Linked DNA regions of Tamandua tetradactyla. The protein of the gene in region 2 interacts with the protein of the main gene of each other region in a pairwise test. Links are inferred from orthologs where the notes say so. Each region holds a gene or a part of one and is shown on either strand. Other genes may lie near its edges.

Region 1 (7,388 bases), on a different chromosome or scaffold from region 2:
TGATTTCCAGACCAGAATTCTGAGGATCCAAGAGGATGGTAACTTTCTAGCCATAGGCTCCCCTCTTTTCTCAGCCTCTGGTTTATAAAGGACCGAGGATGAAACCTCTTGTCATCTCTAAGGCTCCTTACTCTTTGACCAATGAGCTACCTACAATACTGCCACCATACTACCCATAATGATACGGATGGGAGGCAAGAAGGAAGGGGCCAGAAGGGCTGACTACTTTGATGGTAAACAGGTTGTAGTAAGCAAATCCTGAGTAAACGAGGGAGTGGGCACTGTGCTCACAGCCAAAGCCTTGTGCACCAGCTACTGAGTCAGGTTCTTCTATATTCGGAGCCAGAGGGGAGCTGTGAGGACTTGGAGTCACAGAGGCCCAAGACTACCACAGGAACAATTTCTGGCTGTGGGATTTGAGGGGGGTGGGTGGGAAGGGAGTCAAGAAGTCCCTGCTGCTTTTGCCCAATGGGACATTACTGCCCTGCATTCAGTGCCTGCCAGGTATGGCTCAACTTACCCTAGCCTTTTTTGCCAAACTTGAAACACTGGCCTGGCATTCAGACCCCTTTCAGGATAGCAGACGTAATTTCCTTTTTGTCTTAACCCAATAAGGGCTATATTTTCCCTTCCTATGGTATTTCTTATAAGTAGAAATATGCTTATTGTATAAAAAGCACACACAATACAGAAGTATATAAAGAAAAGATTTAATGTTCACCACCACCACAAAACACACATACCCACATATCCCTTCCTGTTTTTATTCCCAGAGTTTGATGTATATGCTTCCAGCTTAAACACACACATTCACACTTTTTTTCTTAAGAAATAGAAAATCATAGCATACATGTGTTCTACAACTTATTTCACTCAACAATACATCGTGGTATTGTTTCCATTTCTGTATGTAGGGATCTACTTGATTCTTTTTAGTTGATGTATAATTCTCCACACTATGTATATAATACTTAATTAATTATTCCTTTATTGAGGAGTATTTAGGTAGTCCCCAGTTTTTTCATTCTTACATAACAATCAGCAATCGAATTACTTGAACCTAACTTGGCATATTTTTATGAGCATATCCATGGGCAAATTCCTTGGACTCCATTCTCTCATGTACGAGTTAGAATTGCTGGGTCAAGTGGCATTCGCTTTTAAACTTTCATAAATGTTATCAACTTGCCCTTCAAAAAGGTTGTGCCATTTTACAGTCCCATCAATGGTACATGAGTGTGAGCAGTGTTTACTTTATCTGAGATTTGACTGGAACAGCTTGAAGATATTTGTTTTCTTTTATTTCTGTTGCTACAAGCCCTTTCCTAGAGCCCCTCACTTGGAGCCAAGGAAGAACTGCAACTCATGTTGCCATGTAGAGTAGGAGAAAGAATACAGAACTGAGAGTGGGAGACGTGGTTCTTAGGACCATCTCTATGAGATACTGGGCAGGTTACTTCAAACCCCTGGAGCTCCATTCTGTCATCTATGAAATGTGGAGCATAATAGTTGCCATGGTAAAGTGTTGTGATGGTTGTGAGGGTCAGAGGAGATAGATTCAAAAGTGGTTTGTATCCTGAGAAGGAGGATGCACATGCCAAGTCGTTATTATGGTAGTGTTTGCTATTAAACCTTAAATCAATGAGCCTGGGAAAGGGAGCAGGGGACAATGGAAGTTGAGTGAGAAAATAATACAATGAAATCTTTAAAACATTTAAACTTAAAATCCGTTCCCTAAAAGTCCCCATGCTATTGTCCTATACTCTTTTTTATACATTTATTGTTCCCCTGAAGGGGGAGCACCGTTCCTGGAAGTACTGCGATACCAGGTCGATGCGTGGAGTGGACGGAGCAAGCTCTTATTCCATCTCCCAACTCCAAAAATCCATTTAATATCTTGTCCTCAGATACAGATGTATCAGATATTAAACTGATAAGAACAGATACTACACTTCATCTTAGCCAAAAGGCTGAGAAGTGATGTTGTCCTACACTCTTGAAGAACAAACCACATTGTCAGGTAAGGACTACTTTCTGATAAGTCCAGTCCTCTTTCCAGTATGAACTATGCTTTAATTTATTGAGCACCTAATACGCATTTGGCCACATGCTGGTTTCTGTAATCACCCGAGAGGGAAGAAATCCACACATGAAATATTGAAATAACTGTGTGTGGTGACTGCACATACAGCACTGAGTTATAGCTGAGGTATATGTGAGGATTAGAGTAAAATCAGATTAGATAGGAAAATTGAGTTATATCTTTTTATTTCTTAAAAAAGCATTCTTTTTTAAAATAACCCAAATAAATTCACTTTGCAAATAACATATGTGATATTAAGTAAATTATAGTCATTTAAATCAGTGATTTTTTTATAGATTACTTTTACCATAGTGTAAAAAAAATCAATGATTTGCAGTTACGTTTTTTATTAACCCCAATGTTAATTTTAAAAGATATTTGTAAAATCATTGGGAATAGAACCATCCTGATTTCAACCTATTAATCAGGGAATTTAGGGAGAGGGTTTTGGGTATTTTTACATTAGCAAGGGAGTAACCACCACACACACACACACACACACACACACACACACACACACAATGCCTGATTTCATGAAAACACCAGTCTCATATAGTTTGAGTTTTTAAGAAGATATGTATTTTAACAAAGCCAGTAATACCATGTTTAATTCTTTATAAGAGTGTACCATATCATATTAGAAAAAGCGTGGGTTTTGGACTAAGATCTAGATACAAATCCCACCTCTGCTAACTTTCTACGATGTTCATGTAATACTTACCTAAAAATAAATGCAGCCTGGATTATATGTGGTTAACTGAGTCTTCATCTCCCTTTTCCTGTTTTAGCATAGATTTTAAGGGTTATTATTGTTCTTTTTAAATTCCCAGTATCATCCCAAATTAAAGGGAGGCATTCCCTTCCCCAACTGCCTGAGAAATTATCTGTGACGAATCTAGAGGCCTTTTGGGTAACTTTTCCTAAAACAAGTTTGGCAGATATATTAATTCCCCCTCAGTCTTGAAATGTACTTTGTTGGCATCATGGAGGCAATGATTGCTGGATATTATGCAGTGTTGAGAAAATTGGATAAAAGTGCACTGGGGTGGGTCATGACCCATTTTGACAAGTTAAGAATGTGAAGATGTATTTATCTTTATAAAAAAACAAGTTTGAAAGTGAAAAGGGAAAAATCACCTATAATCCTAGTACATTTAACAACTATTATAAATTTTACGTTCTCTTCCAATCTTTTTCAGTGAGCATTTTGAATCATTATAATTTGAATGCACTTATTATTTTGTGTTATTTTTTCATTTTCTTCTGACAACTTACTGTCTCTTTAGTGGGATTTACCATAATTAGCATAATTTAACCAAGTTCTGGGGCACTGGTTTTGGAGTAGCAAGACATGATTTTTGGAGTTTGGTTTTATAAGACTTTGGATACCTGCAAACATTTAAACTTTTTCCTGGACAAGAGAAGCCATTGAAGTTTTCAAGGATAGGAGGGACAGGAAGAAGCATATTTTAGTGAAATTAAAAATATATGTATACTCAATTTGAAGTAGATTAATTATTCTTTGTTTGCATAATGCTGTTTTGAAATGTGGGTGTTTCATGTGTGGAAAGGTAGTTTCCCTATCTATAGTGCCATCTCTTTGAATCATACTGCCATCTATGTCTGTCTGAGTTTTGTATGTACTCCAGAGGCTCAATCAGTGGAACCTGCTTGCCTGACAGGTGGTGTCCCACATAAAAAACATTTTCCCCAATTAAGAGTGGCCTGTAGCTGGACGGATTTCTTCCCCTGAAAATTCACGTGAAATCCTAGTCTTCCTGAGGGGTCAAAGAAGGCTCATTAAACCCTTTTCCCCTCCCTGTGTCAGGTGCTCCTTTTTCTTGATGACCCCACCTCTGTCTAGACAACCCTAACAATGTGGAAGTTTCCATCCCCTTTTCCTTTCTCCTCTCCTTCAGTTTTTTTTCCCCCCTCTCCCCACCGCTTCCTGCCTGGAAACAAAAGATTGGTCCTCGGTAGCCCACTCAGGGCGATTTTAGTTTTATGCTCATCATCTGATTGGTCTATGTAAGGTGCAGAGCCCGGGTAACGTCATAGCGGAGAAAGGCTAGGGAGCGGTTGCCGAGCTGGGGCTCTACTACTGGCGGGGTACTGTCAGGAGCGAACCGTCTGGGATCTCGCGCAGCAGGCTGCAGCTTTTCCGGGCCTGGAGCTAGTGTGTGGGGGCGGGAGAAGAGCCCGGGGCGGGGAGCGGGCCGGGCCCCGGGCTGCGGCTGCGGCCGCGGGGCTGCAGCTCCCCAGCCCCGCCAGCCGGAGCGCTCAGAGGTAAAGGAAAGGTCTTGACGGGGTGGCTGGACCCGTGGCAGGTAAATTTCGCGACTTATGGCCCCCGGGCTAGCTCGGCGGCTGGGAGCTGCTTTTGGGTTGCTAGGCAGATTTTTTGCCTTCCCGGGTCCCCCTCCCGCCACGCCCGAGTCGAGTCTCATTTCTGACTCCCCTGAGCCCCGAGAAAGCGATAGCAGTTTGCATGATTCCGGTAAGCGAGTGCGGACAAGTGGGTGTGTCCGGGCCGTTCCCGAAGGCCTGGAACCCTCCGTATCGTCGGGAAGCCCTAGGCTAGCTTATTGGGCCTGGGCAAAATCCGCCGCGAAAAGCTCTGTCAGCCTGTAAGTGATATTACCGCCCCCCACCCTCTGCAGCTGCAGCAGCGGCAGCCCTCCGGGGAGGGGAGGGGAGGGGGTATGGCCGCGAGTCTGGTTAAGTCAGGGGGCAGAAGAGCCCAACCCAAGCAAACAGAAAAAGTGACGATTTTCTTAACCGGCTCCTTTCCTCCACCCTTTTATTTTTATTTATCCCGCTCCCTTTTTTTGGTTGGGGCCAGGTAAAGTCAGGAGGACTCTTTTCTTCCCTGTGGGGATGGAATGATGCGATAACGCCCCTAGAAAGCCCGGGGCCCGGGGCCCCTCAGTTGGCCTTTGTCTTTGTCTGGGGCCATTAGGACCACTGCCTTCTCCTTTCTTGCCCCCCTCGGCTCCCAGGGGTATTGCCCTCAAGTCTGTGATCTGGCTCTGGCAAGATTCCTGCAGCACTTTTGGGCAGATTGATTGAACATTTTAGATTCTTGTTCTCTCATATTTTTTCCCTTCCATAGGTGATGGTTGGGGTGGGGTGGGGTAATGGGAGATGGGGGTGGGAGGGCTGTTGCAAAGAGTAGGAGTCAGAGCCCCCTCTTGTTTTTCTGGTCCCACCTTCCAGAATCCAGTACCGGACTCTGGACTTGAGGGTTCTGGGCTGTGGTCTGTAGAAGTGAAGGAGAGAAGGGTGAGTGGCTTAGCTTTGGGAAGCCTGATGGGATTGCAGTGCTATTTTTTTTAAAAAATGGCTTTCACAGGGAAGTCCTTAGCCATGTTAGTCTTCCTCCCCCATGGTTTTACAGACTCAAATCCAGGCCAACTGTGTCTGAGGTGTTGGAACAGAAGGAGGTCCATTCCTGTTGGTGACAGCACTGTGGCTCTGTTCTGGGATGATCAAGGTGTAAAGGTCAGTGCAGTTTTCACTGGGCCATTTGCAAAATTATAATCGGGCAGGGTCTTTCATTTTGTACTTGAGATCTCCAATCAGTACAGGGGCAAAGGGGCATAACATGGTAATAGACAATTCATTGTCCCTGACTTAGAGAGAATGCCACTGAAAACCTCTGTTTCTGGACATAAATATCACAACCCTCTCCTCATGAAAGAGGTAAAATGGGAAGAGACTGGGAAATATGCAGGGTAAAAGCCTACAGCAGAGGATCCTGATGCCAGCAGGACGTTGGGATGTCAGGTAGCAGACTCTCCAAGCCTCCATACAGGCAAGTGGGCCTTGTAGAGGAGAGACTTAAGAGAAAAAGGGGGTTCACGTATGACAGTAGTGCAGGCAGAAAGGGTGGAGAATGGAGTGTCTCCACTTGAGGGGCCATAGCATCTTAGGGATGTTCTGACTAGCTAAGCAATCTTACAGGTTGCAGATTTTCTGGTTAAAGGTGGAAATGGTATAGCACAGACAAGCTCGCTGAGGTTTGGGAGGGGCAGTCAATGGGACAGGTGAGGGAAATGAATAATTGTGGGGGGTGGGGAATTGCTGACATGAGACTACACTAGTCAGAGACTAAGCTTCTATGAAGTCAACGGTAAGAAAATCAGATCTAGAAATCAGTTAAGGGCAAAGCCATAGAGAGTTAAAGACAGAAGAATCAAAAACCATCATTTCACCAAGATCCCAAAGGCCCTCATTGTCCTGGTGAGATGGGGGAATACCTTGGCTGAGGCAGTTGTGGTTTAGCCAGGGATTAGAGGGAAGATGTCTTGATACTCAGGAAGGAAATCAATAGCATTCCCTCCCATGAGCCACCTTCAGGAGTCTTTAGCTTTGGCCCAGTGAAGGAGAAGAAACTCAGTTGAGTGTCAGCTCAACAACTGGTTCTTCCCTCCTGGGTGTAAAGAGAGGGGCCTGGGGAACTGAAGCTCCAAAGAGTAGTGGAGGAGCTTCGAATCAGACCGAGACAGGACGGTTGCTTAATTACATGGATGGGTTAGGACTAGGTCTGTGTTTCCCACTCCAGGCAGAAGGGTGCCTGCCTCTGCTCAAAAACAACAAAACCTCTTCCCAGAGACTTTTGGGGGAGGGGACTGCATGTGGGCAGGGGATAGGGCGGGGAAGGGCGTGGAAATTTGTAAGCTATTGAGGCATCTGGGGTGCAGTTTAAATTTCAGCTGCTCTGTTGTCCCTCAGCCTCTCCACCTTTCCAGGAGCTAGGCGTTTTCCCCTGCAGGACGTGGGGTTGACCGGCCTGCCAACTCTGCACTGCCTAGTGTTTCCAGTAGGGGGTGGGAGAGGGCGTGCAGTAGCGCGCAGGGCCGGAGTCTTCCATTTCAAGTGTGAAGCCCGAGCCTCGGGAGTGAATCCAGTAAAAGCCATACTATTAACATCTGATTTAGAGATACCAGAGAACCAAATGAAATCCTTCCTGGGTCTGGCAAACTCTTTCCGGCCAACCGTTTCCGTTTTACCGCAGAAATGCAGCCCTTCCAATTGCTGTCTGCGGCTTTGGAAGGCATTTGCATTTACAGAAGCGTTGATTACGCGAGTCAATAATACATACAAGACTAAACGGGAATTTAATTGGAAATGTTAATCAGTGCAATGGATCCTTGTCTGATTTGCACATTCGGTCAATTCTCTGCAGGTTGGGGCAATCTGCGCTGCACCCAGGGAATGCGATAAAGTGCAAAATGGCGCAGCTACAGCTGGGTCTGGGGCCGGGAAGCAAAATGGAGGAGGTGGACCTTGAAGACTAGAGATT
Region 2 (7,800 bases):
GGGATTCCTTCGGTGGATGAACTCAAGGTCCTCAAGTGAGCCTTCTTGGTGGCTCTCTAGTGAGAGCCCAGCAGGCTCTAATGGAACCTGGACCAAGGGAGCTGGTATTAGGACTCCTTCTGACTTTCCAGCCATCATTTCATCTGGTAGTGACCTCATTCAAATATTCTCAACCTGTTCCCTATTTCCTTGTGTCTCTGAGTACGCTTCGGTCTCCAATCTGGAACTCTGTGTCTCCTAGACACAAGGAGATAAATCAGGGTCAACAAAATCAGACTACAAAGGCTGATAAAACCACCCTGATCTCTTGAATCCTGTCCAGACGCAGGCTCCATCAACTTCCAACCTTAACAGAGTTTTTCAAAGTTACTGGAAATCGTTTTTGTTTTCTTCTTGCTGGAACAAAGCTTCAGAAAATGAGAAAATGTGTCAGTGGTTTACCAAAATGGAAAAGGTAGATTCCCAAAACAGAAACAATGAACACTGGCCTTGCTAACTGAAGAATTTCAATTTCATCCATTTTTTTCCATTATGAAGTACTTCACATTATGTTCAAACAAAAAGAAGATATATGAACATGATTTGGGACACAAAGCAATTTACAAAGCACTGAAATAGAGAAGAAAAAATCTGTTCATTTACTTCTAAGCCTCTGTCTTTTCTACCTCTCCCTATATCTTTCAACAAGTGTAAAAGGTACCACTTTAGAAGCTATCACAAAGGTGGAACCTAAGGTTCAAAAAAAAAAGAAAATGCCTGTTAATATCAAGATGAAAAGCTCCTCCATTCAGTATACAGGAACCTTTCAGAATCTAGTAGTGTTGACTCTCAACTGTTTCGATTCTCAGACAGCAGCTCTTCTGAGTAACAAAGGATTATGATACTAGCTACAGTGGAAGAAAAGAAGGGGAGCAATATAAACCACTCCAGGAAAAAAAAAAACAAAAAAAACTTTGCTTCATTTGATTATGGATCCAGAATCCAAAAGAAGGGTTATTTACAGAAAATCACACCCTAGTATTAGTTAAATAAAATTTTAGAAGACTACCTAAAAAATAAAAATATCACCTGTTTCTTCAAATGACAGAAATGACTAATCTACTTCACATTCAGGGTATGTCCTACTAAGTACATTCTCACCATATCAAAAAGTCTAATCCCTATGATGTGATGTAGTCTCTTTTTTAATCCCTGAGGATCATCTCTTTTTTCAGTAACACTCTCCCCAGTTTCTACCCAAAGAACTAATCTCTCCTTAATCTACCTCACAAGAATATTGACATTTAAAATCTCTCCCAATTGAGATTCTTTCAATCTGTTTCCTTAGCAACTAATGACAAGAGAGGTCAACAATTGCTAACATAAACTGTCTGCACTAGTTCTGTGTACCTAGCCATCTCCTTGCTAAGGTTCCCTGGCTCCATTTCCTAGGAGCCATAATTTGATCCTAGATCCTGTAGTTTGGACATTCTTGGAGTACACCATTTCTTCTTATATTTCTACCTGGATACCTGCTCAGTCAATAGGGTGTGTTCATCCCCAACAGTAAGTGGACACTAACCTAGAGTGATAAGGACAAAAAAACAGGAATGCCTTGGATAAAATGGAAATACTGTCAGAGAAAGGTCAGATGAAACATTGTGGGAAAGTAAAACCTTGGGAACAACCTAAATGACCATCAGCAGGGAAATGATAAAATATCATTTATCATTTTATCATTATTTATTATTTATTTATTATTATTTATATATATGGTTTAACCATTCAATGGAATATTGTACAGCCTTGTAAAGAAAAAAGTAGGACTATGTGCGCTGATAAGTATGATCTCATCTGAGGAAATTAAAAATACATACACATAAGCACGTATGACTTGATACATTTACAAACAATGCCTGCAAGAATATCCAAGAAATTAATTGCATTTACTTCTGAGCGGCAGGAACAGTAAGAGTGTGATATATTTCATTTTATATCTTTCTGTATGTTTTTTTCCACTACAAACTAGCATTACTTTCAGGACAACTCAAGAGGAAAACTTCTAAGGCATTTCCCTCTGCCCACAACCTTTCAGAGTGGAAATCGCTAACAGACCCAGGAACCACACTTTCGTTAACTGCTCTAGTTTCTAAAACCAGATACTTTTATAACCCCAGTTTCAAAGAATAGACTCAATTGCCACTGTGCCAGTGCTCAAGGTTTGCTCTGAAAGATGGACCAGTTCCACAATTTACCCAGGTTTATACATCCTATCACTTTTCGAAGATCACCTACCAAATATAAAGCTTACGCCCACCATGTAACAACCTCAATTTACTGAGCATTCACTGCCCACCTGACACTGCTCAACGTTTTACACTCAGCCACACTCAGGCTAAACGCTCGATACGACTTTCTACTGACCCAGTCGTGCCCGTTAACAGCAGCAGCTGTTGCTACGATTTAATTTTACGGGTCAGACACCTCGCAGTTTTCCCTCAGCCAATCCTCCCGATAACCTACCAGGATAAGTACTGTCATTTTCGTTCATGAATAAGTAAACTAAGGCTCGGAAAGAGAGGACCTGCACAAGGTCACAAGGCTGCGAGATAGGGAGCCAGTCAACCGAGTAAAGGAATACCGGGAGTTAGGACCAAGAGCTGAGGCCGACTCCTCCCACCAGACAGGCGTGGCTCAGGGGTCCTAGGAAGGGCCGGAAAATGGGACTTCCGGGGCTCGAGAACTGGAATATGCACCTCTTGGCGCTGAAGTGAGATTCAAGGCCATGTCAGGCCAAGGAGCCCGCAGGCCCCACGGCCAGGGTCTCCCCGTTCCCACAGCCGCCAAGCCTGAGCCGCCTACTCCCAACGAGCGCCAAGGCGCGGAAGCGGGGGACAAGGGAAACGTTCACCTGCGCAGGTGCCACCACGAAAGGCGGTGAGCAGGAGGATGCGGAGTACCGAGAAAAAACTCGAACCCCGCACCTGACTCCGGAAAAGGAACACCTCTCGGGTGCAGAGCTTTGTAGCGCACCGCCGGAACCGGAAACCACGCCTCCCTGCCCGGAAGTTGGGCGTGGAAGGGGAATCGGTCAGCACCGGTGGGAGGCGTGTGCGAGCTCTCTTGGTTTCGGCCTTGCTTCCCAGCCTTGTGATCTTAATAGCCTTTAGTGGTCTTTGGCTGGTGCTGTCTTGCGTTCCTCAGTCCTTCTTCCTACTGTGCGGAATCTTGGGTATAGCCTGAGCAGATTTTTCGCTTTGAGGAAGTTCTCTCTCTTTCTGAGCCGCAGTTTACCCAACTGCAAATGGAAAGAGGTTGAAACAGGAATTGAAATAGTCTAGGAATTTGTTGGTGCCGGAGTCTGTCCCATCTTAAGGTTACACCCTTAAGTCTGCACATCACCCAAAGGAATGAAACCGAAATAGATGAACGGATGCTGTTTGGAGGCAACCGTCCTCTCAGGAACCCGGTGAAATCACTCCAGATAGCCACAGTGGGCATGGTCTATTAAGGAGGACCTAATTCATTGTACCCAGAACAGTGAATATGTACCCGTCGGAGTTTGACACAGTCTGTCCAGGGAGAGACCCTATGTGTGGGGGAGGCTAAATCTTAACTCTATGTTCCTCTTCCCCTGCGCTTTCCAATTGCCATCAGACGGTGCAGTGTAGCCTGACGGTTAAGAACTGAAGCTTTGAATGTACTGACTGGATTTGAGTCTTGGTTTGAGTCCGAGTCTGAGTCTTAACAAGTGGCATAGTGTAAAAACCAAGCATAGGGATGCAACCCGACTTCACCACCATTCACTTCACTGTTGACCCTGAAGAAAAAGGAACATGACTGTTAGGGATAGGCACTCGGAGGTCAACCCACTCTCCTTCCAACAGTCTATCCGAATGGGTTGGACTCAGAGATTAGGAGAAGAACCCAAGCCGCTTTGCTGGGCTATCAGCCCAGAGCCAATGTCCCTGGAGCAGAGAAGATGTACCCTTTGTCTACTCTGCCCTACTGGTCTTTAAATTCCTGGAGGGCCAGGAATTCTAGCTGGTGGTCTAGGAACAGGATGCTGGTGGGCCCTTCCCCCATCACTCCTACAATTATATTTCCACCTTTCACCTCCTCTCTCAGCCTTGGTGTCCGCATTCGTGAAATCAGAGGATTGGACTAGATCAGTAGCTTCCAACTGTCCCAGACATGCTAAGGTTCCTCGGAGAATGCTTCATAAAACTAGGGGGCTGGGGATTAGGCCCCTGGTCACCTCCAATTTTACAGGTTTATAAATTTCTATTGAATTGTATATGTTGTACACAAGATTATTGTACTATTCAGGGTAAAAGTCAAACTTTTTACTTTACCTCATCCCTCTTGTCTTTCCCCACTCTCCTGTTCATTCTGCTCTGGGCACACTGGCATTCTTGTTATTTTGAGAACACAACAAGCTCAACTTCACTCTGTTGCTGTTCTCTGCTTGCAATGCCATTTCCTAAGACCTCTGCATCCAGGTTCCAACTCAAGTGTTGCCTCCTCAGAGAGCAGCCTTTGATACTCACCTGCCCATTCTAAAGGCACCCCTCCGTTCCCTTTCTACCTTGTTATACTGCTTTTGTGATTACCTGTTTATTTTCTATTTCATCTACTATAAACAGAGTACACAAGGTCAAGGACTTTGTCTTCTTATAGCCACCATGTCCCTAGCACCTAAAATTGAGAACATGCTGAATTTGTTGAATGAATGAGTGAATGAATGAAAACAAGTCCTGAATTTTGTGATAAAGTCAACCTGATAAAGACCACCAGGGACACACCTGTAGTTTGACAAAGATAGGTCTACTAACTGGATGCAGCTTGAGAGAGACAGCACACCACAGGAATCCTGGGATGTTTCACAAAATAAAGCAAAAACAAAAACAAAGCAATAAAACAAAACAGTATTATCATTGGATTTTGGGGGAAGGGTGAATTTTAGGTAAAAATGAAATGAAGCACTATTGATAAACTTAAAGCAAACCAGCTCTGAAAAGGGTTAACCTCTGCCTTAGCCTGAGAAGCCAGACTCAAGGTTCGGTTTCCTTGGGTACCACAAAGTTAAGATAAATATAGACTGTTGCATCCCAAACCCACTTATCTGAAGCTGTGCACCTGAACTGGAAACCCAGTTTCGGTGTCAAATCTGGTTCAGACCCACCAGGCAAGACTGGAACATTCCATTCTCATCAACATGATTTCAAACAGCAGCTTTTCTGACAGTCTCTGATTTTAGAGAGCAAGGTTTCTTGGCACTATGTCCTTGGTCTTAATCAGCAGAAGGTTTGACAGATTCATGTTGGGTATGAGTCCCTTGGTGCTTCAGTCACACTGAACCACATTGGCATAGTAGGTCACTACTTGGGTGCCCCTGTTGGCATTCCAACTGGATCATGGGCTCCATAAGGGCCTAGTCTGTGTGTGGGCCATTTTCCTGGCCCCACACTTGTCACAATATACCACTAGGTGCTCAGTCAAAATGACAAAGTAGTTGCGTTAAAGAGGTGAAAGTGTGCACGACTTGTTAAAAATCTGTTCCCAAAATGGAAGTTTCTAAAATGTGATCAGTATTAATGTTTTGACAAAGAAAAGGGAATGAAATAGATGATGTTTTAAGATTAAAAAAGAAATTATTGACACTTATAAAATAAGAACTAAATTATTGATATCATGTGATTAAAAATAGAGCACGGCAACACTGATCCTTTCTCATTGTTTTAAATAATTTATTTTTTTTTTAATTGAGGTAAAATACACTGTCATGGTCAGGTTCATGTGTCAACTTGGCCAGGTGGTGGTACCCAGTTGTCCAGTCGAACAAGCACTGGCCTTCCTGTTGCTTTGAGGACATTTCATGGACTTAAATCATGACCACGTTGGCAGCATCCACAGCTGATTGGAAAGGGGAGTGTCTTTTGCATTGAGCGATGCATAATCTAATCACCAGAAGGCTTTTAAGGAGGATTCAGAAGAGACAATCCCCTTCTGCTTCAGCCAGCCAGCCTCTCCTGAGAGTTCATTAAGGACCTTCATTGAAGCTGCCAGCTCTCGGCCTGCCCTACAGACCTTAGACTCTACATCCCTGCAGTTACATGAGACGCTTTTATAAATTTTATATTTACAGTTATCTCCTGCTTTTTCTGTTTCTCTAAAGAACCCTAGCTAATACATACACATTACCTAAAAGTAAATCATTTTAAGTAGAAATTTATTTGACACTAAATACATTGACAATAATGTGTAACCTTCACCACTATTACCAGACTTTTTTCGTCATCTACAACCAAAACTCATACTCATTTAGCAATAACTCCCCATCCCCCCTGTCCCCCCACCCAGTAACCTCTATTCTGTTTTCTGACTCTGTGAATTTGTTTATTCTAAGTATTTCATGCAAGAGCAGTCATACAATATGTGTCCTTTTGTGTCTGGCTTATTTCACTCAATATGATGTCTTCAAGGTTCATCCAGTTGTAGCATGTACCAGCACTTCACTTCTTTTTATGGCTGCGTAATATTCAAGTTTATGGATACACCTCATTTTTTTAATCCATTCATCTGTTGATGGACACTTGGGTTGCTTCCGCCTTTTGGCTATTGTGAATGCTGCAGTGGACATTGTACAAATATCTATCTGAGTTCCTGTTTTCAATTCTTTAGGGTATATACCTAGGAGTAAAATTGCCAGGTCATATGGTAATTCTATATTTAACTATCTGAAGTAAAAACAAGCTGCTTTCCACAGTGGATGTACCATTTTACATTCCCACAAGCAATGAATTAGGGTTCTTATTTATCTGCGTTTTTGCCAATGCTTAGTTTCAACTTTTTAATAATAGCCACCTAGTGGGTGAGAAGTGGTATCTCATCATTTTAATTTGCATTTCTTTAATGACATTGAGCACCTTTCAAATACTTATAGACCATTTGCATCTTCTTTGGAGAAATGTCTATTCAAATCCTTGGGCCTATTTTTTAATTGGTTTATCTTTTTGTTTTTGAGTTGAAAAAGAGTTTTTTTATATATTTTGGATGTAAACCCTTATCAGATACGTGGTTTCCAAATATTCCCTCACATCTAGACCGTCTTTTCATTTGTATAATAACATCCTTTGATGCACAAAAGTTTCTAATTTTGATGAAATCCATTTCCTTTTTTTCTATTTCTTACTTTTTTTTTGCTTGTGCTTTTGGTGTAAAATCTAATAATCCATTGTAATTAGTCCATTGCTGCCCCCCTTTTTGTTTTTAGTTGCTTTTTTTTTCTAGTGTACTGTTTTGATTGCCTTCTTCTTTCCTTTTTGTCTCTATTTTTCAGTTATTTTTCTCAGTAGTTACCTTTATAAATCCAATTAATACCTTAAACTAATAACAACCTAGTTTAACTAGTACTAATCTAGTTTCAGTAGTGTATAAACTCTCTACTCCCATATATCTCTGTCCCTCTCCTTTATGTTATTATCTTAGATTACACCTCTATACATTATATTCCCATTAAAATAGATTCAAAATGTTATTTTACACATTTGCCTGTTAAGACAAATGGGTAGAAGGGGAAGCAGTTATAAACCCAAAGTACAATAATACAGGATTTTACATTTACCAATGTAGTTACTTTTACCTCTGTTCTTTATTTCTTCTTATGACTTCAAGTTACAGTTTTATTTCATCCTGAATGACTACTTTTAGCATTTCTTGTAGGAAAGGTCTTCTGGTAAAGAACTCTTAATTTTTCTTTATCTGTAAATGTCTTGATTTTTCCTTCTTTCAAAAGAAGATAACTTTGCTGGATGTAGA

What was found.
Region 1: the proteins of CDC42 (region 2) and PAK3 interact in a two-hybrid assay, tested with the Homo sapiens proteins (2 studies listed by BioGRID and IntAct). The link is inferred for Tamandua tetradactyla from reciprocal best matches to the Homo sapiens genes CDC42 and PAK3.

What each region holds. Positions count from the first base shown.
Region 1 is NC_135353.1:59,218,418-59,225,805, reverse strand, and holds the start of PAK3 (serine/threonine-protein kinase PAK 3), read left to right. Parts: upstream 1-4,326; 5' UTR 4,327-4,410; intron 4,411-5,480; 5' UTR 5,481-5,584; intron 5,585-7,388. UniProt on the Homo sapiens protein: Serine/threonine protein kinase that plays a role in a variety of different signaling pathways including cytoskeleton regulation, cell migration, or cell cycle regulation.
Region 2 is NC_135328.1:204,406,181-204,413,980, forward strand, and holds the start of CDC42 (cell division control protein 42 homolog), read right to left. Parts: upstream 3,026-7,800; 5' UTR 2,891-3,025; intron 1-2,890. UniProt on the Homo sapiens protein: Plasma membrane-associated small GTPase which cycles between an active GTP-bound and an inactive GDP-bound state. In active state binds to a variety of effector proteins to regulate cellular responses. Involved in epithelial cell polarization processes.